Kluyveromyces lactis: one gene and its partners. The protein of the gene in region 5 purifies or fractionates together with the protein of the main gene of each other region. This does not show direct contact. Links are inferred from orthologs where the notes say so. Each region holds a gene or a part of one and is shown on either strand. Other genes may lie near its edges. The genes, in order: PWP2, NUP159, PAB1, RPS3, CRM1 and NMD3.

Region 1 (3,979 bases), on a different chromosome or scaffold from region 5:
TAATTTCTATTCCTTTTTGACTTCTTCTTATTCCTCTCAGTATTACCATTACCATTGGATTTCTTCTGTTTCTTAGTCTGTGTTTCGGCTTCCCATAGCTTTTCTAAATCTGTCGTCGACACATCGTCCTCGTCCTTTTCTTCAAAACTTCTTTTCTTATCATTAGAACTCCCATCTGAACCGGGCGTAGCTCGTCCGAGTTTATTTCCGAATATTCTTCTTCCTGCATTTACACTAGTCCGTAGTGTGCTTGTGCTGAGATCGTTTGTATCGATCTTCGAATCCTCATCATTCAGTGACTTGATAGCAGAGAAACCTACGTTCTGTACCACTTTTGATTTATTAGCAAGTTTTGTCAAGAGTTTTACATTGTCACCTATCCTCCATTCTGACGAGTCCACCAATTTCTTTATTGTCTCCTCGGTCTGTTTAACTTTGTCTGCTTGTTCCGCATGCTTCATGAACTTCATGTTCATCACTCTATTGGATAACTTGCCTGTGACTTCATGCCGTTTCTGTCCACTCATTGTTACCTTTTCGTCTTAGTGCCCCTATTACCGCTTTCAAATAGGCTTCACTATATCATTGACACTGGAATACATTTTTAATGTATCATTAAAGTCCTAATACAGCTCATCTCATCAATCTTCTGCTGAATGGTTTGATCTTACATATTAGAATTTCATGAAAAGTTTGTTTACGATTGTCCGGAAAATGAAAGATAGCAAGAAGATAGAAATATCCATGGTTAAACCCCGTCGGACGTATTTCAGAATGCAAGGATCTGCACTATAAAAGGAACATTGTACAAAAATAAATGAAATAAAAAGGTCATTGGTAAAAGTATGAAAACAGCTATAATGAAGTACTCATACTAAGTTTCAAGTGCTGACATAAACGACAATCCACCCAAAAACCGACATGTTTCTGTTCTCTCTTTCTTTACTTCCGTGCTAAAGCTGTATATGTTTTCCTTTCTTTTTCATTCAGCATACAGGATTTCGAAAAATTTAAGAGAAAAAATTGAGCGATGAGATGAGATGAGATGAGATGAGTTCAAGCAGGAAGTGCAGACGGATTATCAGTCACTTGTAAGGACTTTGCATTATAATCAGTTGTTCAATTTCAATTAGTTGGAAGGAATCAGGTCAGACGAGCTTTATAAGGGTTTAGTTACGGATGAAGTCTGATTTTAAGTTTTCCAATCTTTTGGGAACTGTTTATAGGCAAGGTAACGTCTTGTTCTCTCAAGATGGTTCCAAGTTACTTTCACCGGTAGGTAATAGGGTGTCGGTATTTGATTTGATCAACAATACTGCTTTTACCTTCGAATATGAACATAGGAAGAACGTTGCCGTTGTAGATATCAACAAGCAAGGTACGTTACTTCTTTCCATTGATGTCGATGGTCGTGGTATCTTGGCGAACTTTAAGACAAGAAACGTATTGCATCATTTCAACTTCAAAGAAAAGGTTTATGACTTGAAGTTTTCACCTGATGGCAAGTTATTTGCGCTGGCTTGTGGGAGATTCTTACAAATATGGAGGACACCCGAGACCACTGAGGATAGACAGTTTGCACCTTTTGTTCGTTATAGAATCCATGCCGGCCACTTTTCTGATATAACTTCCTTGACATGGTCAAAAGATTCAAGATTTATTATATCCACATCCAAGGACCTAACGGCAAGGATATGGTCAGTTAACTCGGAGGAGAAAAATCTTGCATCGACGACTTTTGCAGGACATAGAGATAACGTTATCGGAGCATATTTCAGCGATGACCAGGAAAAGATATACACGGTCAGTAAAGATGGTGCCTTATTCCAATGGGAATACACCAAAAAGCCTGGTGAAGGGGAAGACAATGATGAAGATGAGGAAGATGTAGATTTGTCAAAATATAGTTGGAGAATCACAAAGAAGAATTTTTTCCATGCAAACAGAGCAAAGGTGAAGTGTTCTGCATTCCATGCTGCATCCAACATATTAACAGTCGGTTTCTCAAACGGTGAATTCCGACTCTATGAACTGCCAGAATTCATCATGATTCAACAACTTTCAATGGGTCAAAATGCAGTTAATACGGTTGCCATCAACAGTTCTGGTGAATGGTTGGCTTTCGGTTCTAGTAAACTTGGGCAATTGATAGTGTACGAATGGCAATCAGAGTCATATATTCTAAAACAACAAGGTCATTTCGATACGTTAAATGGATTGTGTTACTCCCCAGATGGATCGAAGATTGTCACAGCAAGTCACGAAGGTAAGATCAAGATTTGGGATGTCGCGTCAGGTTTCTGTTTGGCAACTTTTGATGAACATGCAGGTGGTGTAAGTGCAGTAGAATTTGCTAAAAAAGGTCAAGTTTTGTTTTCAGCTTCTTTGGATGGTACCGTGAAAGCATGGGACTTGATCAGATATCGTAATTTCAGAACGTTCACTGCGACCGAAAGAATACAGTTCAACTCATTAGCAGTTGATCCAAGCGGAGAAGTTGTATGTGCCGGGTCGGAAGATAGCTTTGACATTTTTGTTTGGTCAGTACAGACTGGTCAGTTAGTGGATACACTATCTGGCCATGAAGGTCCTATCTCCTGTTTATCTTTCAGTAATGAGAATGGAGTTTTGGCATCCGCTTCATGGGATAAAACAATTAGAGTGTGGTCTCTCTTCGGTAGAAGTCAACAGGTAGAGCCTTTTGAAGTATTTTCTGATGTTTTATCTATTTCTATGAAACCGGATGGTCAACAAATAGCTGCAAGTACTCTAGCGGGGCAAATATTATTCTTTGATGTTGCTGAGGGCAAACAGGTGGGAAATATTGACGGCAAAAGGGATATAATCTCGGGTAGACATTTGGAAGATCGGTTCACATCAGAAAGTTCAGCAAGATCTAAATATTTTACCACCATTCATTACAGTTTCGATGGTCTCTCTTTGGTTGCAGCCGGTAACAATAATTCCATATGTCTTTATGACATTCCAAACGAAGTACTGCTAAGAAGATTTACCGTATCCAAAAACATGATGTTAAACGGCACCATGGAGTTTTTAAACTCAAGTAGAATGACAGAAGCAGGATCTTTGGATCTCATTGATCAAGATGCAGAAAATTCAGACTTGGAAGATCGCGTAGATAACAGCCTTCCTGGTTCGAATAGAGGAGGTGACTTATCGACAAGAAGAGTCAGACCGGCGATCAGAGTGACGTCTATAAGATTCTCTCCTACTGCTAATGCATTTGCCGCCGGTTCAACAGAAGGTTTACTTGTATATTCCGTTGATAATACTATTCTTTTTGATCCTTTCGATCTTGACGTCGATGTGACTCCACAGAATGTTATCCAAAGCTTAGATGACAAGGAATATCTCAATGCCATACTAATGGCTTTCCGTCTAAATGAGGGCTATCTAATCCACAGAGTATATGAGAATATTCCAATAAAGGATATTCCATTGATAGCTCACGAGTTGCCAGTGGTTTACGTATCAAGAATTCTAAAATTCATTGGTGAGTACGCTTTAGAATCACAGCATTTGGAGTTCAATCTCCTTTGGATCAAATCTGTACTTACAGCCCACGGCAAATACATTTCTACTAATAAGCATCAATTCTCTAGCGCATTGAGAGCTGTCCAAAGATTTATTGGTAGAATGGCAAATGACGTCGTCCAAACATACAAGAGAAATAAGTACACATTAGACTTTTTGACAAATACCGATGGTTCTTCAACTAACGCTGTTGACGAGGATATGAATCTACTGGGCAATGATTCAGACAACGAATCTGAAGACAAAGAGGATATCAACATGGACGACGATTTAGATGGAGGTGAATGGGTTGGATTCGAGGAAAAAACTATTAATCTTCCTGTTAATGACGAAGATTCTGACGACGAAATCCTACTATGAAATCGGGATACTTCACTAAAAAGAGAATATATATAATTCCTAGCATGATAGATATATAAAATCA
Region 2 (4,274 bases), on a different chromosome or scaffold from region 5:
GCGCTTGCTGCTCCTTCTCCTCTTCCTCTCCCTCCTCCTTTTCTTCTTCTTCTTCTCCTTCTTCTTCTTCTTCTTCTTCTTCTTCTTCTTCTTCTTCTTCTTCTTCTTCTTCTTCTTCTTCTTCTTCTTCTTCTTCTTGCCCATCTTTGGTCTCCACTTTTGCTTGTTCTTCGTTGCTTTGCTCAGCTTCATCCTCTTCTATGTCACTGTTTGAGTTCAAAACAGTTGAAGAAGGTTTTGAAGAGGCTTCGATGTGTATATCAGATCTATCATTATCATATATTTCCCTGTCCTCTCCGTATAAGGAATCACTTTCATCGGTAGAGGATACAATGTTAGATTCGATATCGTCTTGATCTTCTGAAATGCTCGAATCATTAGCTGGACTAGGCACTTCAGATTGATCGTTTTCGATCGTCGAATCGCTGACTTCTTTCGAATTCAAAGAATCTTGAGTGACGGATGGCAAACTGTGGTTAGCTTCTGATATAGATTCACCGAAACCAGTAAAGTTGAACGACTTAGTGTCTTCTTTTTTAGAATTCAAGTGGCCGAATGGATCAGAAGTCTGAGTTTCGAATGGATTTATGGTCTTTTGGTCTGTAGCAAAGGCAGAAAATGGTGAAGACAATTTCGCAGATGTAGCGAATGAATTCGGTGCAGGGTTGGTAACAGCGCTGTCGCTGCCAAACTGAGAAGTTCCAAAGAGCGATTTTCCAAAAGACGACTCTGATGAAATTTTTGTGTTGGTTCCGAATGGAGAGGTAACATTAGCTCCTTGTATTCCGAAAGATGTGGAGCCAAAACTTGGCGTTCCAAAGACAGATGACGTCTCTGCCTCTTCGGACAAGGGTGAAGTGGTATTAGTTTGAGATTGGGTACCAAATGATGTACTTCCAAATGTTGGTTTGCCAAACGCTGGTTTACTGGGCGCCGATTGGTCAGATACAGGTTGGCCGAATGCTGGTTGTCCGAATGCTGGTTGTCCAGACGTTGGTTGACTAGATGCAGGTTTACCGAAAGTTGGTGGACCGAATGCTGCTTGGCCGAATGCTGATTGTCCAGATGTTGGTTGACTAGATGCCGGTTTCCCAAACGCTGGCTCCCCGAATGCTGGTTGACCGAATGCTGGTTGACCGACTGCTGATTGTCCAGATGTTGGTTGACTAGATGCCGGTTTCCCAAACGCTGGCTCCCCGAATGCTGGTTGACCGAATGCTGATTGTCCAGACGTTGGTTGACTAGATACAGGTTTGCCGAAAGTTGGTAGACCGAATGCTGGTTGACCGAATGCTGATTGGCCAGGTGTTGCTTGGCTAGATGTTACTTGGCCAAATGTTGCTTGGCCAAAGGCAGGTTTTCCAAATGCAGGAGATGAACCAGATGACAGCAAAGGATTTTGAGAGCCCTCAGACTCAGCATTTGTACTATCCGTCATGTTCTTCGGAGTGAACGAAAAACCTTTAGCGAAGGAATTTGTAGTTTCAAAAAATGACGATTGTTCAGGAACCTTTCTTACTTCAGTTATTGTGTTCTTAGTGTCTTGGGGAGAAATTAAAGTAACTTTTTCCTTTTCCATTGAAGAAGAACCACTTTCTATTTTATGAGATAAGATTTCGAAAGACTGTACATACTGAGTTTTGGTTGGTTCTAGCGTGAAACTCGAGTTTTGTAAAGCAGAGTGATGGAATAAAGCCCAACAAAATAGTTCCCCAAGATTGGTGAGGACATATAATATCGGTAGATTGTCAGCAGCCTCTACTCCGGAACAAGGCTCATACACAGTACCACTGGAAAATACATCTAGGGCCATCCCAATGGGTTGTGTATCATTATCTGTTTCAGGGTTGATTGGAAGAATTGCACAAGCAGCATCTTGGTCCGGTTTATACATCACGTTCGGTGTGGCAATCGATAGCTCTGATGCACACGATGATCCTATAACGAATAGATGTGGTAGCTGCTGAGCGAGTTGATACAATGTTTGAGAGTAGTATGAAGGATTTCTTTTGACTGTTGAATAGGGAGGCGCGATATCCATGGAAGGAGTAAAAGATTTAGTATTGACATTGACAAAATATACGGTTAAATCGTACATGATATCTTCTTCCGAGGCATCGACCGGTTCGCCGTACGATACGAGTAAACTGCTTTCTGACAAAGCGTTTATGGACAACGGTTCGTTAGGTTCATCGAGAGATGGCTTTTCAATAGAGGATGTGACGTTAAACTGTTCATCCAGTACAGCTATAGAACCATTTTTGTGTAAAACATAAAGTTGATGTTTCAAAGTGTCAATTGCGATGCAACCTGTGATTGAATGTAACTGTTCGGAAGAATGCTTTTGCGATAAGGATATTTTAAACACGACATTAGCGTTACTCGCAAGAAGTACATTCCCTTGGAAAATTACAGAACAAATGACTTCATTGACACCATTACCGTCCCAGTATTGTTCCCAGGCGAATTGGTCCAATTCGGTAACCCATACTGAACCATCTTCTAGGACCGTAGCCAAACTCTCTGCCACAAAAAAAACGCCCACTACTTTCGCCGTGAACTCTTTCGTATTTAGAGTGATGAAGGACTCATCACGGACAGATTGCAGATCATATACAGACACAGTCTTGGAAGAAGCAACAGCTAGTAATTTTTTCAACGGATGTATGGAAGCATTAGCCAGTTTTGAGAATGGCAAATCCTCATTGAAGCCTGGAACAATTTGTTTAGAGAATAAAAACTTGAATCCCAAGCTCTCAGTAGTTTCAACATTCAACGCATCAACCACAGAGGACGTCATTGATTCTGTATGTGTTCTTTTATCTGTGCCGACAGTAGTAGTTTCAATCCGTTAGTGTATTAATATAAACCTCAGCTGCTTATTAATTTGTAAACCTTGAATTTCAATGGGCATCAGTTGCAATGTTCAGTGCTTGTACAGGTTTGAAGCTTTTTGATGATAGCTTTGAAGTAAACAAAGTTCCAAAAAGAAGGAAATTATCAATCACGTGATCCGGAAATCAGTATGAGGTTAGTGTTCATGTTTTATTGTCTTTACTATGACATGAATGTTTTGAGATATAAAATTTTTTAGATGGTCATTAAAGAATACGTATTTAGTTAGGTAAGTATCTTCGAAAGAAGTAGGCGTTAACATTGTAATTGAGGCCATATCTGTAATGAAAACAAAGCGGATATTGTTGTTCTGAAAAAAAAGCGAACAAAATGAAAGGCAATATATATATATATCGGTATCAAATGGAACGCCAAGAAGAATGATACTTTAGTTGAATGTGAATCATTTCAAAATTGATAACCTAGGCTGGTGATCCATTGGACAAAGCAAAATAACATAAACTTAGAAAAAAGTAACACTTCTTTTTAACACTTGTGTAAAATTACTAAGTATGCATTTAAGCAGCGAACGATAGAGACCAACCCAACTTGTGGACTGGTTCAGCCAACTTCAAAGCGTCGAAAGAAGCACCAATACCTAGAGTGACACCTGGTCTCAATATTTGTTGGTAGGACAAGGCGACGATACCGGAGTCAGCAACCTTAGCCTTAACTTGAGAAACGGCGTCCAAAGCGTACTTGGAAGCGAATTCAATGTTGACATTAGAGCCAGCTTGAGGGTTCAAAGCAGCCTTAGCACCGACTTGCAAGATTGGGGAAACCTTTTGGAAGAAGGAAGCGGTGATCAATTGAGCGTTGTTGACGGACAAACCAACGGAATAAGCACCAGAAGCGTTGTAACCCAAAGCCAAAGCGTAACGGGAGACGGCACCAGCAGAGATGTCATAACCAACTTCAGCACCACCAACGAAACCTTCGTGAGCCAAGGTCAAGTCACCGACGAAGGATGGACCCTTCAACAAATCGAAGAAACCTCTAGCAGCAAACAAAGGTTGAACAAAGTTAACGTTCAACTTAGCAGCCTTAGAGACACCTGGAACACCAGAAGTGATCAATTCAGTCTTCAAGCCTGGAGTCAATTCAGCCAATTCGATCTTGGTGTCCAAAGTGTTGGCGTTGTTCCAACCTTGGGTGAAAGTCAAACCAGTAGACTTGTCAGAGGCCTTAACTTCAACGTTAGCAGCAATTGAGCCATCTTTTGGAGAAGTTTTACCCTTAACAGTGAAAGCAACACCGTTTGGAGCAGTGGTCTTAACGTCAACAGAAGCTGGGGTAGCGTGGAAGAATTCCTTGTTCAACAACCCATTGATGTCCTTGGAAATATCAGAAAAGAATGGAGGAGCCATTGTAAATCTTTG
Region 3 (3,522 bases), on a different chromosome or scaffold from region 5:
TCTTCATTAAAAAGACTACTAATGTCCTCCCATTAGAGCTTTAGTATTATATAAAACGGGTAGAGTAACAATAATAGTTAGATAGAAAAAATCAGTAAGAAAAAATTTGAAGAGAAAAATGGGGCATACCTCCGGATTGAATTAGCGGTATGGAGAAAGGGTAGAGTGATGTGATGGATTGTGGTAATATGGTATATGTGGAGCGTGGTAATTTTTTTTATTGGTAAAGATTAAAAGCACAACATTTTTGGCAACAATGGAAAGCCTGTGATGAACAAAAAAAAAAAAAGCGAGAGAAAAAGAAGAGTGGCAGAAAGTAGTTTATTTCGACTAGTTTAGGTCTATAACAATGCGTAAGCTAATTAGCACCACCCAGTTCCAATGCGTGAAGCTGAGACTATTCATATAGTTAGCTGTTCGTTTTTTTTTTTAATTTTTCTTTTTCTTCGGGGGAAAGATATAGAAAGGACAAGATGAAGATCAAGGTCAAAAAATCAAGTTTAAGCTTGAGCTTCTTGTTCCTTCTTGAAGTTTTCGTAAGCAGCTAAGGCTTCTTGGAATTGCTGTTCAAATTGTTCGTCGTTGTCCAACAATTGGATGACTTGCTGTGGTGGTAGATCCAAGATCATACCGGTGATCTTACCAGCGGCGTTTTCGTCGTCAATCTTGGCACTGACCTTCTTGTACAATTGTTCACCCAAGGCTTGTCTTTGCTTTTGTTGTTGGATGTAGTGTTGTTGTTGGTGTCTTGGGAATTGGTTTTGAGGTGGCATACCTTGGTACATTGGACCGTTTGGTCTACCAGCAAATTGTTGTGGTGGTGGGACCATACCGTTCTTTGGAATACCGGCACCCATTGGGCCGTTCATACCTGGGTTTGGACCTGGGAAACCTCTTGGGGCCATAACACCATAGAACATTTGTGGCATGTATTGGCCTGGCATACCAGCAGCAGCGGCAGCAGCTTGTTGTTGTTGCTGTTGTTGGAATCTGATTTGGTTTCTGGCTTGAATTTGTTGAGCCAATTGGGATCTTCTGACATCCTTTCTTTGAGCAATGGCAACGTACAATGGCTTACCGGCAACAATTTGTTGGTTCTTTTCGGTCATAGCCTTGGTAGCTTCTTCTGGAGAAGAGAAACAAACGAAACCGAAACCCTTAGAGTTACCCTCTTGGTCTCTCATGACTCTAGCAGAGGTGATGGTACCGTATGGGGCGAATTCTTCCTTCAATTTTTCGTCATCGATGGAATCGTCCAAGTTCTTGATGAACAAGTTAACACCTTGGAACTTAGCCAATTTTTCCAAACGGTATTGTTCGTATTGTTTCTTCAATTCTTCAGCACGTTCGTACTTCTTTTGAGCTCTGCCAACGTACAAAGCTTGAGACTTGAATTCCTTACCGTTCAACTCTTCAACGGCCTTGGCAGCGGCGTTGTGGTCAACAAAGTTAACGAAACCGAAACCCTTTGGCTTACCCTCAGCATCCTTTTCCAAAGCAGCAGAGACAATTTCACCGTATTGGGAGAACAACTGTTCGAACTCTTCGTCAGTGGTTTCAACGTCAATGTTCTTGACGTAAATGTTGGTGAAGTTAGCCTTGGCTTCTTCCAACTTGGAGATACGGTCCTTCTTTGGAACGTGCATGGCAACGTAAACTTCCAAACCGTTCATCAACATACCGTTGACGGCTTCAATAGCATCCTTAGCATCGGATTCTTCCTTGAAATGAACGAAACCGAAGCCTCTAGAGTTTCCATTCTCATCTAAAGCAACTTTACAAGACAAGACTTCACCGAAAGTGGAGAAAGTTTCATGCAAAGCCTTGTTGTCAATGGCTGGGTGCAAGTTCTTGATGAAAATGTTACCAGAACCCTTCTTTCTGATAGCTGGGTCACGTTCGGACCACATAATTCTACATGGTCTACCGTTGATTTCAGCATAGTTCAATTCTTGAATAGCTTTCTTACCAGCTTCGTAATCAGTATAGTTAACGTAAGCGTAACCTAACGAAGCCTTGGTGACGGCATCACGACAAACACGGATCGAGGAAATTGGACCCAATGGTGAAAACACATCGTACAACAATGCTTCAGTAATGTTTGGATCCAATTCACCAACGTACAATGAAGCGTTGTTGTTTTCAACCTTAGAAACAGAAGAAGCTTCGCTTTCAGAAGCAGAAGTGGATGGAGCACTGGCAGATTGAGCTGGTTGCTGATCATCGTTGATCTGCAAGTTTTCCAATTGCTCAGCAGTTTTTTCAGTAATATCAGACATTATGAGATGAGATGAGATGAGATAAATTTAACCGAAAAAGATGGCGGTTGGTTGGTTTTGTAATGTGTTTTTAAAATATATGTTTTTTTATGGTTTTTTAATGTGTATTTTAGTGTATTGTTTTGTTTAATACCCACACAGTTGCGAACCTTTGATGAAACTATTAAGTTTTGATTTAACGATGGATGGAAATGAAAAACCCTTAGTTAACTTGAATTCAAAAAGACTTCTAACTGGAATGTTTTGACTAATATTAAAAAGATATAAACCACGCTTATTCTTTTCTTTTACCAAAAACAATTAAAATACAGGATACAGATGATACCTTTAGAGAGTTTGCTGACTTTGACCGTGGTCTTTTTAAACAAACAAATTGCACAAAATAAAATGTTACAATAACTGAACCAGAAAGGTAATACAAATAAGTAACAAACGAAACAGTATAAACTAACCAAGATAACTAAAAACTTATAACAAATTAAATAAATGAAACAACATCACAAGAACTTATTTAAAATCGTTATATAATTCATCCATCTCTGTGAGAACAGTCCTTAATTGTTGTGATGAGTTAGCCAAAAAGTGAAAATTTTCATTGAAAAATTTAAAGAGTTGAAAAAGAGTTTAAAGCTTTTCCACAAAAGGAAAGGTAGGTACGTGCGAAATGATCTGAGGCATCACCACAACAAACCAGGTATTTTACTAGCAGCCGGCTGTTTCTGGTGCGCCCTTGTGCCTCATGTCATTTATGAAGGTAATAATAACTAATAGCAATATGTTGTTGATTAGATATCTTTTTTTTTTTCGTAAATTGATAGGCGTATATATCTCTATGTTTTGTTACATTTGACTAATTAATGTTCAGAGGCTTTGATTTTGTCGTACATCGCCAGGAGTTTGGAAGATGGGACATCTCTTGGCCAGTAATATGCAGTGAAAGACCATAAATGTCTTTTATATTTTTCTGGAGAGGTCTTAGACGAGTCCTTCTTGTGCGATTCGATGTAGTCACCAACACGTTTCAATTCCTTCTTCAATAGGTTAGCCCATTGCTTACGTTCAAGACCGTCTCCTCCAGATCTTAGACGTTTGAGTGAGCTACGGACGTTTGTCATCGTTTTCTTACACTCTTCTTCGTCCATACTGTCGTATTCTTTGTCAGGAAGACGGATATCGGCTTTTGGTGCCAACGGTATGTCTTTACCTTTCCTCTGCTGTTTTTTCGATCCGACGACAGGCGTAC
Region 4 (2,640 bases), on a different chromosome or scaffold from region 5:
GAAGATCCCCATCAAAAAAGTAGTTGATCCAATGATCAATGCTGTACCTACAGCACAAAAATCCTTATAAGTTAGGCCCATATTTACTTTCAGTCAATGTGTTTAGTGAGCGATACCTACGTTCTCTTAAAAATGGAACGTATAGACCCTACGTGTGGTATTAAATGGTTAACAATTCATCTATAATTGAGCCATTGGTTTTTTCAGTACGCACTATATATTCTCTTTTTTTTTAATAATTTACATGATTTTTGCCCACCGAATTTTTTTGATTAGTATGAAAGATAAAGGAACTGAAAGGCGGAAAGGCATTATCGGAAGGCGCTATCGATAAATCATTTTAAAAATCCATTGATAAAAGCAGGACGTTTTAATCGATGTCATCTGGGCATAGATTACTTATTTTTAAAAGAATTGATGAGTTTCTTAATATTTATACATATAAGAACGGTATTTAATAGACTAATTAATAATATAGAATCAAACAGATATCAATTGATTTAAGCAGATTCAGCAGCTTCAACTGGTTCAGTTGGTCTGTAATCCTTGACAGAAGGTTCCAAAACTGGTTCTTCTTCCTTTGGTTCGATGATGGTAACAGCATCTGGCAAAGCCTTTGGACCAGAGGTGTTTCTAGATGGGTCCTTCATGATCTTAACCTTAATACCCAAAACACCTTGTCTCAACAAAACGTGTCTGGTAGCGGTTTCAATGAAGTCGTTGACTGGTTGACCGGAGTGGATCAAGAAACCGTCAGCGAACTTCATGGACTTGGCTCTAGCAGCTCTCAACTTACCGGAGATGACAACTTCACAACCCTTGGCACCAGATTCCATAACGTATCTGACAACACCGTAAGCAGCTCTTCTGATGGCCAAACCGTTCAACAATTTGAACTTCATGGATTCAGCTTGAGCAACAGCGGACAAACCACGGTCATGGACTCTTTCAGCGTATAAAGCAATGGTACCACGCTTGTACTTGAATCTCTTTTCAATCAACAAGGTCAATTCGTTGATTCTTCTACCATTTTCACCAACAACATCTTGAACCTTAGTAGCTCTGATGATAATTTCGGTCTTGGTTGGAGTAACTCTGACTTCGACACCAGAGTAACCTTCTTCAGCCAATTCTCTGGTGAAGAATTCGTTCAATTCGGCGTAGAAAACACCGTCAGCGACAAGCTTTCTCTTCTTGGAGATAATGGCAACCATTTTTACTTTATTTGTTCGTCGGGGAGCTCGAAATTATAGGTGATAATAAAACTAACTAAAGTAAGTATCTTGTATGTCCAATGGCACTTATGTTCATAATGAACCAGATTGTAAAGCGATGATGAGAACAATATTCGTCAAACCGTCCGAATCGCTGCGATTGGTATGGTGAAAATGAAAAAATCATCTGAAAGACAGTATTTACTCACCAACACATGTGGTGTATGGGTTAATGCTTCAGATAAATGAACATTTTCAATGAGATAAGTACCCAAAATGGCAATGCAGAAAAAATTGGAAAAAAAACTAAAACAAAAATGTCCGGGTGAGCAGTCCCAGGAACATATATTTTCAAGTCACCTGGTAAGCGTAGAAAACTCGCCGTAAACAGAAAACTTCAAGACCGTTCCTCCATTTCCTAATGGGGAAGTTCCTAAATAGGATTTATACGCGAGATGTTCCACCCCCTGCATTGGTTTATGTGAATACTCGAGAGCCTTGTGGTAACTCGCATCACTTAGGAAACAGACAACACAATTGTTTCAACGAATAATAAAATGGGAAATAACATAGGAATTCCAGACAATGTTGCAATCACGGCGTGTCACAGCTGCATACTTGTTATTCCGAAAAGAAAGTACGTCAATATTGACCGGGTTTTAGCAGGTATATGACCCAATATTGCTTCGGGTAATTACAGGATGCCGTTTCGTTTTCTCTCTCTCTCTCTGTTTCTCACAATTTGAACGAAAAAAAAGAATAATATTGGGAGCCAGTACACCTGCAGAGGGTACAGCGAGCACACTCGAATATACGGAATGTACCAGAAATGCCTCAACCTACCTACCCACTACAATCCATTATAACAACTACCTTTTCATGTTCCTAGTAAGTTTTCCCTAAGGCCAAAAAAAAAAAAAGAAAATGAAAATCAGCTACTTGCTCACTCGAAACAAGCACATCGATTGGTGCAACTTGTGTGAATAAAAAGAAAGAACCATGTAGGTAGGCAGCTCATTTTGTAAATGGTTTTCTGAGATGTTCGGACTCCTGCACAGCCTTTATAATGGGCCAATCAATTCCACTTTGTAACTTACTAGTTCACTCGTAGATCCTTTTACTGGTTGCCTATACAGTTTATTCCGTCTACCGCACAAAGCACAAAACTGCGCTATTCACTCCATTTCCTAGAGCCAGTACCTAAGAAATCGGTAAGACGACCATTTCTGATTGTTTTCAATTGACAGTCTACACTGTTTGGCCTAGTCTGGCGTCCGAAACAGCAGCAACGTTCGTAGTGTGCGATTATCTGAATGAGGAAATAACAGACCCCACTGGCCCCACTTATACCAGTGGCCACTTCTGACCGTCAAAAATGCAGCCGAGCTTAACCAGTTATGCTGTTTCCAATATCGACTGCATTAGC
Region 5 (3,984 bases):
TGAAGTAATAGTTCTTGTAGAAATCGTTAGAGAATTCAGACGGACTAGCGGAATCAACGTTTTGAATAAGGTCTAAAGCAATTTGTAACCCATTTACCTCAACATCTCTGTTGTTGTGTTTGAACGCCCAACATATGGCATCAACGAAAAGTTTGAAAGCCGGTGGTGGTAGTTGAGATATCGCTACGAAACACTTGGAGTTGATGGCCCTCAATAATTTATAAAACTCCACACGATGTTCCGGATATTCCGTGAAATCTTTATTGATCATGTCTAATGTAGCTTCAAAGACACTCTGTAAAATCAAAATGACACCGCTGATCATCATAGGCCCAACTTTGTTGACAAGTGTGGTCATACAACTTAAAATCTCAGCGTCACGGGCATCTGGTACGGTAATGTAGTAATCCCGTAACACAGAGTCAAACAGTGCTGATGCCAAGTCATTTACGATGTAGTCTAAATCCTTTGCACTGGAAATGTATAATTCCATTAATTTTAGAATTTCTTTCTTGATTGTTCTTAAACCTCTTACCTTTGGAGTCTTAGTAGCAATAATCCCATCGCTGGCTACTTGTGTTGAAATACATCTAGACACAGCTGAGCACAATGACATCATTGGTGTGAAGTTACGACTCAACTGCGGAGCAAAGTCATTACCCATAGCGGAACAAACGGCAACGTTTGTCTTTAGAATATTGGTAACGATTTTCACAGTTTCAGGGTCCGACAAAATATCCAGATGAGTAGATGATTGCTGAATTATAGCGTCCCATGCCATGTTAGGGAGTTGCATCAAATCTGCTAGTAATCTTTGTTTTTCTCCTGGGTTTCTTTCATCAGAAATAATTAAACCGCAAGCCTTGTAAAATGTGTGTACTTGCTGAGGTTGAAGATCGGAGGTGTGGTCTTGAATGTTTCTAATTATTGCCTGGATGAAAGGTTCACTTTCGTTTGGCTGTTGAACGACAAAGTGACGTTTACATCTCTGTACAATCTTGATGAAGGTGTCACAGGCCATATCTTGAACACCCTCATGGGTTTCATGCATAAATTCAAATAGTTTTAGAATGACTGTCTTCAAGAACTTCCAATGAGCTTTTAAGAAACGTGGGTACTGACCGACAACGTACATAATGTTCGATGCAACAACAGCCTTGTTGTCCTTACCGCGCTTTTTATCAGTCAAGGCTAAAAGATCTTTAATGATTGTAACGACAAATTTTTTCTCAGTTTCCTCGTCCATAGTACCAGAAATAGAACCAATAGCCCAACACAATGTGTTGATGTTGTGCCATGACCATTCAGAGCCATCAAGTTGCTTTGCCAATTTATTCAACATGATGTCTTCAGTATCAAGAACATCTAAATGCGTCAAGTAAACAAGTACTTCCCTTTCGGACTTATATAACTGAATTGTGTCCGACTCCTTAACAAACTCTCTGACGATTTCACCTTCATCGTTTTCCACAATAAGAACTTCCTCTGGTCTAACCATCGATTCTATTATAACCCATCTTAACTGAGAACAGATGTTATCGTAAATGTGTTTCTTTAACGGGAACCTTTTCAAGAATTCCGGGTGAGGAGCACCATTGCTCCCTGAGAACATATTCGATCCTTGAGATAGTTTCAATAGGACGTTATTCTGATTTTGAGGGATTTGTTGCACCTCTTGGTACAAGGCCGAAACCAAATTATTCCAGTAGTCCAAAGTCGTTTTGAACAATTCTCTTTCGTCAATCTTCGAAAGTTCAATCAAATATTGATGCGCAGTAATTAATAGTTCCCTCAAGGATTCATCATCTTCTAATATTGAACGGTGTCTGGCCAAATAGGTAGTCAAGAACATGGCAAAATCTTGCAAAAATGATTGATCGTTGCCATTAGCAGTAGCATATGTGTTCTTCAAGTCAGCATTCACCGGTATAACGTTAACAGCAATTTGTTGCAAAGCATTTTGGAAAAACATTACAGTTAACGAAGCAATCTTTGGGTCATTTGCTGGAATATCAAGTTGAGAAACTTCAGTCAAACATTTCAAAGTAATAGCTCTGGTGTCAGCAGAGACTAAAAATTTCGTACTCAACAATTGCAAAATATCAGTGTTGTAGATGTAACGGTATGGGATCCAATGCAAGTATCTCAAAAGAGATTGCAAAGTGGCCACCATAAGGGATGGAGAAGATGCGGTTTCCAAAATTTCGTAACATAGATTGAAAATCTGTTCAAATTGTTGATCCATAGATTGTTTTAAATGTAGTGCTTTAGCTTGCGTCATTTGCTCTGCAGAGAAATCAAAGACTTCCTCACTTAATAACTTTAGCATTACCATGTTGTTTTCACATACGTTTACACTAGCTTGGGAACTGAGAACCAACTCCGGGATGAAGTCTGGCCAGTTTTCTGGCCAGTCCTGCTTAAGAATTTGAACCAAGGTTAAATCAGACTTATGAATCAAATTCTTCTGAGTTTGGAAAACCTGATCATCTTGACACATTGAAATAATCATTCCAACGATGAAATTACGAATTCCAAGTCTATGCTCCTGAGGTAACATCTTCCATTTCGTCGTAATTAACTTATCCAAAATGGAAAGCCCAATGAACTTCGTTTGCGGATTATTTGAATACTGCAAGATTTTATCAGCCCTTTGCCAAGCATCTGGATGGTCCTTCAATTTAGTAAGAACCTCTTGTGCCTCCTTTTGAGACGCACCAGAGCCCTTGAAAAAGGTATCCACCACTTGATCTAGGAGCTGGATGTCTAAGTCCCGAGAAAAGTCTAAAACAGCCTCCATATTGATTTAGAAAGAAGAACGTGTGTGTGGATCTCTTTTTACTATTTTCCTATGAGTACAGTGCAGTAGTATCCTTCTTATGAAAAGACCCTGATTAATTAAATGCAATGTCTTGTTCCTTTAGTCTGCTGTATAAATTCCACCAAGATTCGAATTCACAGCTGCAATTTCCGAAATAAATAATAAAGAAAGAAAAAAAAATACACCGGACTATAGTTTTCTTATTTAGCACTGAACAGTAACGGTTGAATCTAGTACGAACAAAAGTGACTCGATAGCACGCTGCCAGATCTAAAATTTATCTAACAAATACATGTTAACATTCTGTTTACTTTAGACCCCAAACCCTATCAATTGAAGGTTTTGGCTTTAGTAAAACTGCTTCTTTCGAAAAATCAATAATGGTAGGGTAACTAAATTCGTGCCTTGTGATGGCTTTAGGCGTGGCGCCCAAACATACACGTGATCTGAAATCTTTTCCTTTAGTTAATCAAAAAAGGTACTCTTCTGTGGGTATACAAGTCTATATATGTAACAAATGATGGAACATAAATTAAGATTAGGTACTCATTGATCTAAGATGATGATGAGGATGAGTCGGTTGTTCCTGGTTTGGTAGATGTGTCTTTGATCAGAGTTCGAGATGTATTTTCTTTTGAGCTACTTTCATCTTCTTCAAACCAGTGATTGTTGCGACGGCCTGGCGACCACATAAACTCTGATTCCTGGGTATTTAAAACAGGTGACTTAAACTCAAGCTCGAAATCTTCAGTGGATCCGTTTGGATAAGAGGATATTGGCACCATTATTTTAGGTAGTTGTATCTTGCCTCTACGGTTCAGTAAAAATTTCCATCTTGCGACAACCATTAGCATGGTATCGTAGTTTCTCTCGTTCCGGATCAGTTTATCAACTTTGTTCATGTCGTATAAATTTTTCACATAATCATCGATCCCAAGACATTCAGTCTTGTTATATGTAGTGTACAATGGAACTGTTTCCATCAGCTGATTGAACTGCACGGCGTTGTATCTCTTATTTCCCAGCTGAATTTCATGGACAAATCTGTTATAATCTAGTCGTCTGGCGTTCACTTTTTGATAGTCTATAGAGGAAAGTTCTTTGCTGAGTCCGAAGTGATCAATTTCAACATCATATGGATCGTTTGGGTTTACTTTCATGTA
Region 6 (3,242 bases), on a different chromosome or scaffold from region 5:
TCTCTAAGCGAGAGTGAAACAGTGTTAGAAGTGATATTTTCAAGGTCTAGTGCAGAGAACAATTCTTTCTCAGCAGAGTCTAACTTGAACACTTCAAGTTTTAATCTTGATAATTCATGGAAAAACGAGGTATCAACAAAAGACTTAAAAGCTGGTGAAAACTTAAGATCGTTAAGCATCTTTCCTGGTACTCAGGTTTTGTTCCATGAAGAAAGAATAGTACTTCTTGGTTTACTTTATTTATCTATGCACTGCAGTTAAGGGTATAGTGTATCAGGGTAGTATTACGAATCGACGTCTTTTTTACAAGAATGAACTAAACTCAGGAAAGCATTGTTACCCTGAAACATGCCAATTATTAATATTCACTAGTGTACACTATACAAGACGGCCATTGTATCATTGATCTAATGCAGATGATGAGTAAATTCAACTAACTTGCCTATCTCGTAAATATATATTGTAATTATTGTCCAAACAAGAAGAGACTAAACCAAATTCTATAGCATTTCTTCACCTTGTTGTTGATCTTCTAAAGTCATCTCATCCAACTCATCTAATAGTTCATCAATATCAATTTGTGGAGCATCTTCATCTTCATCTTCTTCCATCTCGCCTTCGTGCTCTGCTGGTTTGTTGCTCTTATATAGATTGATTGTTTGTCTCATTTCCTCATCTTCCTCCAATTCTTGTAGGAAAATCTCATAATCTCTTTCAGCACGTTCCATTTCTTGTTTCTGTTGTCTTGAAGTGTAGTCTTGAGAAGCTTCGATATCCTTGTGTTCCTTAGCCATTCTCTTCAACTTCCATTTTCTGTTCTTCTTTGTCTTTCTTTGATATAGTTTCTTGATTAGAACGATGTCTGGCACGTAATCAATATTTAAACCATCGAAGAGCTCTGAGTTATAGTTAGAGTTAGCGATAAAGTAACCCATGACACTGTCACCAGGATGAATAATACCACCAAGATGTGTTCTAACGTAATAGACTTGGTCATTGGAGCCTAGATCGGAAGATCTAGCGACAGTAACGTCAGCCAATACCCATTTGTTTCTAACTTGACCAGTAGGTTCAACGTCCAATATGATGAATTCAACTAGTTGGGACACTTCAGCTAATGCACTGAAAGGTTCACGCCAGTACATTGGAGCAGTCAAATCACACGTTTGAAGAGTGGTTGGATCCAGGAACTGGAGAGAGTTAGAAACCTTGGAACAGATGACAAATTGACTGATGTTACCCAAAGACTTGGCAAGCTTCTTAGGTAAAACAACCAAATCATCTCTACAAATTGGAACAATTTCCACGGAAAAAGTGAATTTGTAAGTAGATGAACCGGTATGGATATCTTGAGAGATTAACTCCTCGGATTTTTTACATTTGATAGGTACGACAGCATTTAAGAAATCCAACATCTTAGCAGCATGGTTCTTTTGAGAATAGAAGAAATCTAAACCATCCTTTGCCTCACTAATGGAAATGGTGTCAACATGGGCATTGTGCTTCAAAATCAACTGTTCTAAATACAAGAAAGTTCTCTTATGAGGAACTTTTTGTCTAATTTGGACGTTTGCTCTCCATGTATTAGTGGTATAAGATCTAGCACAGTCCGGACATTGCATGGCAATCACCACATATTCCACTTCAAATGTTTGCTGGATAATAGTGTTAGCCATAGCTTCACCTTGAACGGTCAATTTGACCCGGATACGTCTAGAATGAGGTTCGGTCCAGATAAATGATGCATCCACTAATCGAACTTTGTTTAAGCCTTTCAAACGACGTAAACACAACGCCAAAAGTTCACGAGATTCCAAAGAAGCCCTAATCCATTGGCTTGGTGGTTGCAAGAACCTCTCACAGTTTCTACAGAAAGAAACATTAGCCTCTCTGGGAATACCTTCTGTAATATCGACATTCAACTTAATACAGTCGTAACACATAACTAGCCCTGAGGACCCATCCATAGGCACACCACAACTGCAACATAGCACTGTAGCATGCTGATGTTGCATGTGATTCTGATCTAACGGAGTGTAATTCATCGAGTTCGGTGGATACTTCTGCCCTTGCTGGAATACCTATAATGCAGACATTAATCAGCTTTCAAGCACTATCAGACTGTGCAAGAACAAGATGCGATGAGATGAGCTTTCTCAAAATTTTTCTTAAAAGAGACTGCGAACCCTCAAGAAAAAGAAATTTTGCACGTGACTTTGAACCTTGGATTTATGCATCTATGCATATTAAGCTAGTCTATATACAGGAGAATTACACTTTATAAAGAATGATTAACACGTTCAACGTTTGGATTTCTTTCCAGCAAATAGCAAGCCAAATTGTTTCTTGGAATGTTTTTGTACTTTAGGTTCCATATCTTCTTCATCCGAGGAAGAGTCGGAATGCGATGAAGTCGATTTGGTATAATATTGGTTTTTACTGTGGTCTTTCGAAACATTTGTGCCTCTCGGAAGCTCGTTACGTATCTTCTGTCTTTCCTGATTCCTTATCTTATGTTTTAACGAAACCATAGCCTGGGAGTCGTCTTTCCTCACTCTGTGTATACTGTTTCTCTGTTGCACGTCCTTGGTAGCTCTTTTCTTTTTGGCTAAAGAGCTGACCTTCTTATCACTTTTGATGAACTCTCCAATGGTATGTATATCGGTATCATCAGTACTTTGCGCGTTCTCAAATGATAAACCGCTTCCTATTTGAATGACAGGCAACTGGAAAAATTCCTTCTTTGATTCGTTGCTATCCTCCTTTGCTAGATCATTAGATGACGTCTTAGAATCCTCTATCCATCCGAGCACCTTAGCAGTGGAACTGCTAAACCCATTTTGAAATTTAGCAAGTAGTGCTTGCTTTTCTTTTATCTCCTGAGCTCTTGACATGGCTTGGTGAGTCTGTATTACTTGTTAGATTGTAAGAGTATACCTTTATGGCGGCCGATGCATCTCATCTGGTTCGATCTCATCGCTTCAAAGAATAAGTTACCATTTTTTTTTCAGTGATTACTCTCTAAGGAAGAATCAGAATTCACGTGACTGATTTTTAAATGGAATATGTGGATAGGTCTATCAACTATGTGAGTTTATGTACGTCTATGAGTCTTTTCTTTGGATTCATTCTTTCTCTTTTGGAGTTTCCTTCTTTCACCAAAACCTTCTTTATCCATGGCCATGAGACTTTCTCTTTTTGCTGCTGTAACCTTAGTTAACGACTTCCTAATCACGGCTGTA

Evidence for each region.
Region 1: the proteins of CRM1 (region 5) and PWP2 purify together in Saccharomyces cerevisiae (affinity purification with mass spectrometry; 3 studies listed by BioGRID, with this or other methods). This does not show direct contact. The link is inferred for Kluyveromyces lactis from reciprocal best matches to the Saccharomyces cerevisiae genes CRM1 and PWP2.
Region 2: the proteins of CRM1 (region 5) and NUP159 purify together in Saccharomyces cerevisiae (affinity purification with mass spectrometry; 4 studies listed by BioGRID, with this or other methods). This does not show direct contact. The link is inferred for Kluyveromyces lactis from reciprocal best matches to the Saccharomyces cerevisiae genes CRM1 and NUP159.
Region 3: the proteins of CRM1 (region 5) and PAB1 purify together in Saccharomyces cerevisiae (affinity purification with mass spectrometry; 3 studies listed by BioGRID, with this or other methods). This does not show direct contact. The link is inferred for Kluyveromyces lactis from reciprocal best matches to the Saccharomyces cerevisiae genes CRM1 and PAB1.
Region 4: the proteins of CRM1 (region 5) and RPS3 purify together in Saccharomyces cerevisiae (affinity purification with mass spectrometry; 4 studies listed by BioGRID, with this or other methods). This does not show direct contact. The link is inferred for Kluyveromyces lactis from reciprocal best matches to the Saccharomyces cerevisiae genes CRM1 and RPS3.
Region 6: the proteins of CRM1 (region 5) and NMD3 purify together in Saccharomyces cerevisiae (affinity purification with western blotting; 3 studies listed by BioGRID, with this or other methods). This does not show direct contact. The link is inferred for Kluyveromyces lactis from reciprocal best matches to the Saccharomyces cerevisiae genes CRM1 and NMD3.

The regions. Positions count from the first base shown.
Region 1 is NC_006039.1:783,357-787,335, forward strand, and holds PWP2 (snoRNA-binding rRNA-processing protein PWP2), read left to right. Parts: upstream 1-1,179; coding exon 1,180-3,915; downstream 3,916-3,979. Other genes in the region: MPP6 (Mpp6p), read right to left, coding at 1-527. UniProt on the Saccharomyces cerevisiae protein: Required for bud-site selection and cell separation. Also involved in nucleolar processing of pre-18S ribosomal RNA.
Region 2 is NC_006042.1:330,428-334,701, forward strand, and holds the start of NUP159 (FG-nucleoporin NUP159), read right to left. Parts: upstream 2,801-4,274; coding exon 1-2,800. Other genes in the region: porin POR1, read right to left, coding at 3,414-4,262. UniProt on the Saccharomyces cerevisiae protein: Functions as a component of the nuclear pore complex (NPC).
Region 3 is NC_006039.1:1,552,079-1,555,600, reverse strand, and holds PAB1 (polyadenylate-binding protein), read right to left. Parts: upstream 2,280-3,522; coding exon 501-2,279; downstream 1-500. Other genes in the region: chromatin-remodeling ATPase CHD1, read right to left, coding at 3,134-3,522. UniProt on the Saccharomyces cerevisiae protein: Binds the poly(A) tail of mRNA. Appears to be an important mediator of the multiple roles of the poly(A) tail in mRNA biogenesis, stability and translation.
Region 4 is NC_006040.1:705,125-707,764, forward strand, and holds RPS3 (40S ribosomal protein uS3), read right to left. Parts: upstream 1,215-2,640; coding exon 501-1,214; downstream 1-500. Other genes in the region: SHR3 (Shr3p), read right to left, coding at 1-81. UniProt on the Saccharomyces cerevisiae protein: Component of the ribosome, a large ribonucleoprotein complex responsible for the synthesis of proteins in the cell.
Region 5 is NC_006041.1:1,429,192-1,433,175, forward strand, and holds the start of CRM1 (exportin CRM1), read right to left. Parts: upstream 2,801-3,984; coding exon 1-2,800. Other genes in the region: calcium channel protein CCH1, read right to left, coding at 3,376-3,984. UniProt on the Saccharomyces cerevisiae protein: Receptor for the leucine-rich nuclear export signal (NES).
Region 6 is NC_006037.1:459,073-462,314, forward strand, and holds NMD3 (ribosome-binding protein NMD3), read right to left. Parts: upstream 2,046-3,242; coding exon 501-2,045; downstream 1-500. Other genes in the region: ATG7 (Atg7p), read right to left, coding at 1-179; NOP19 (Nop19p), read right to left, coding at 2,301-2,894; ATP-dependent RNA helicase DBP8, read right to left, coding at 3,095-3,242. UniProt on the Saccharomyces cerevisiae protein: Acts as an adapter for the XPO1/CRM1-mediated export of the 60S ribosomal subunit. Unlikely to play a significant role in nonsense-mediated mRNA decay (NMD).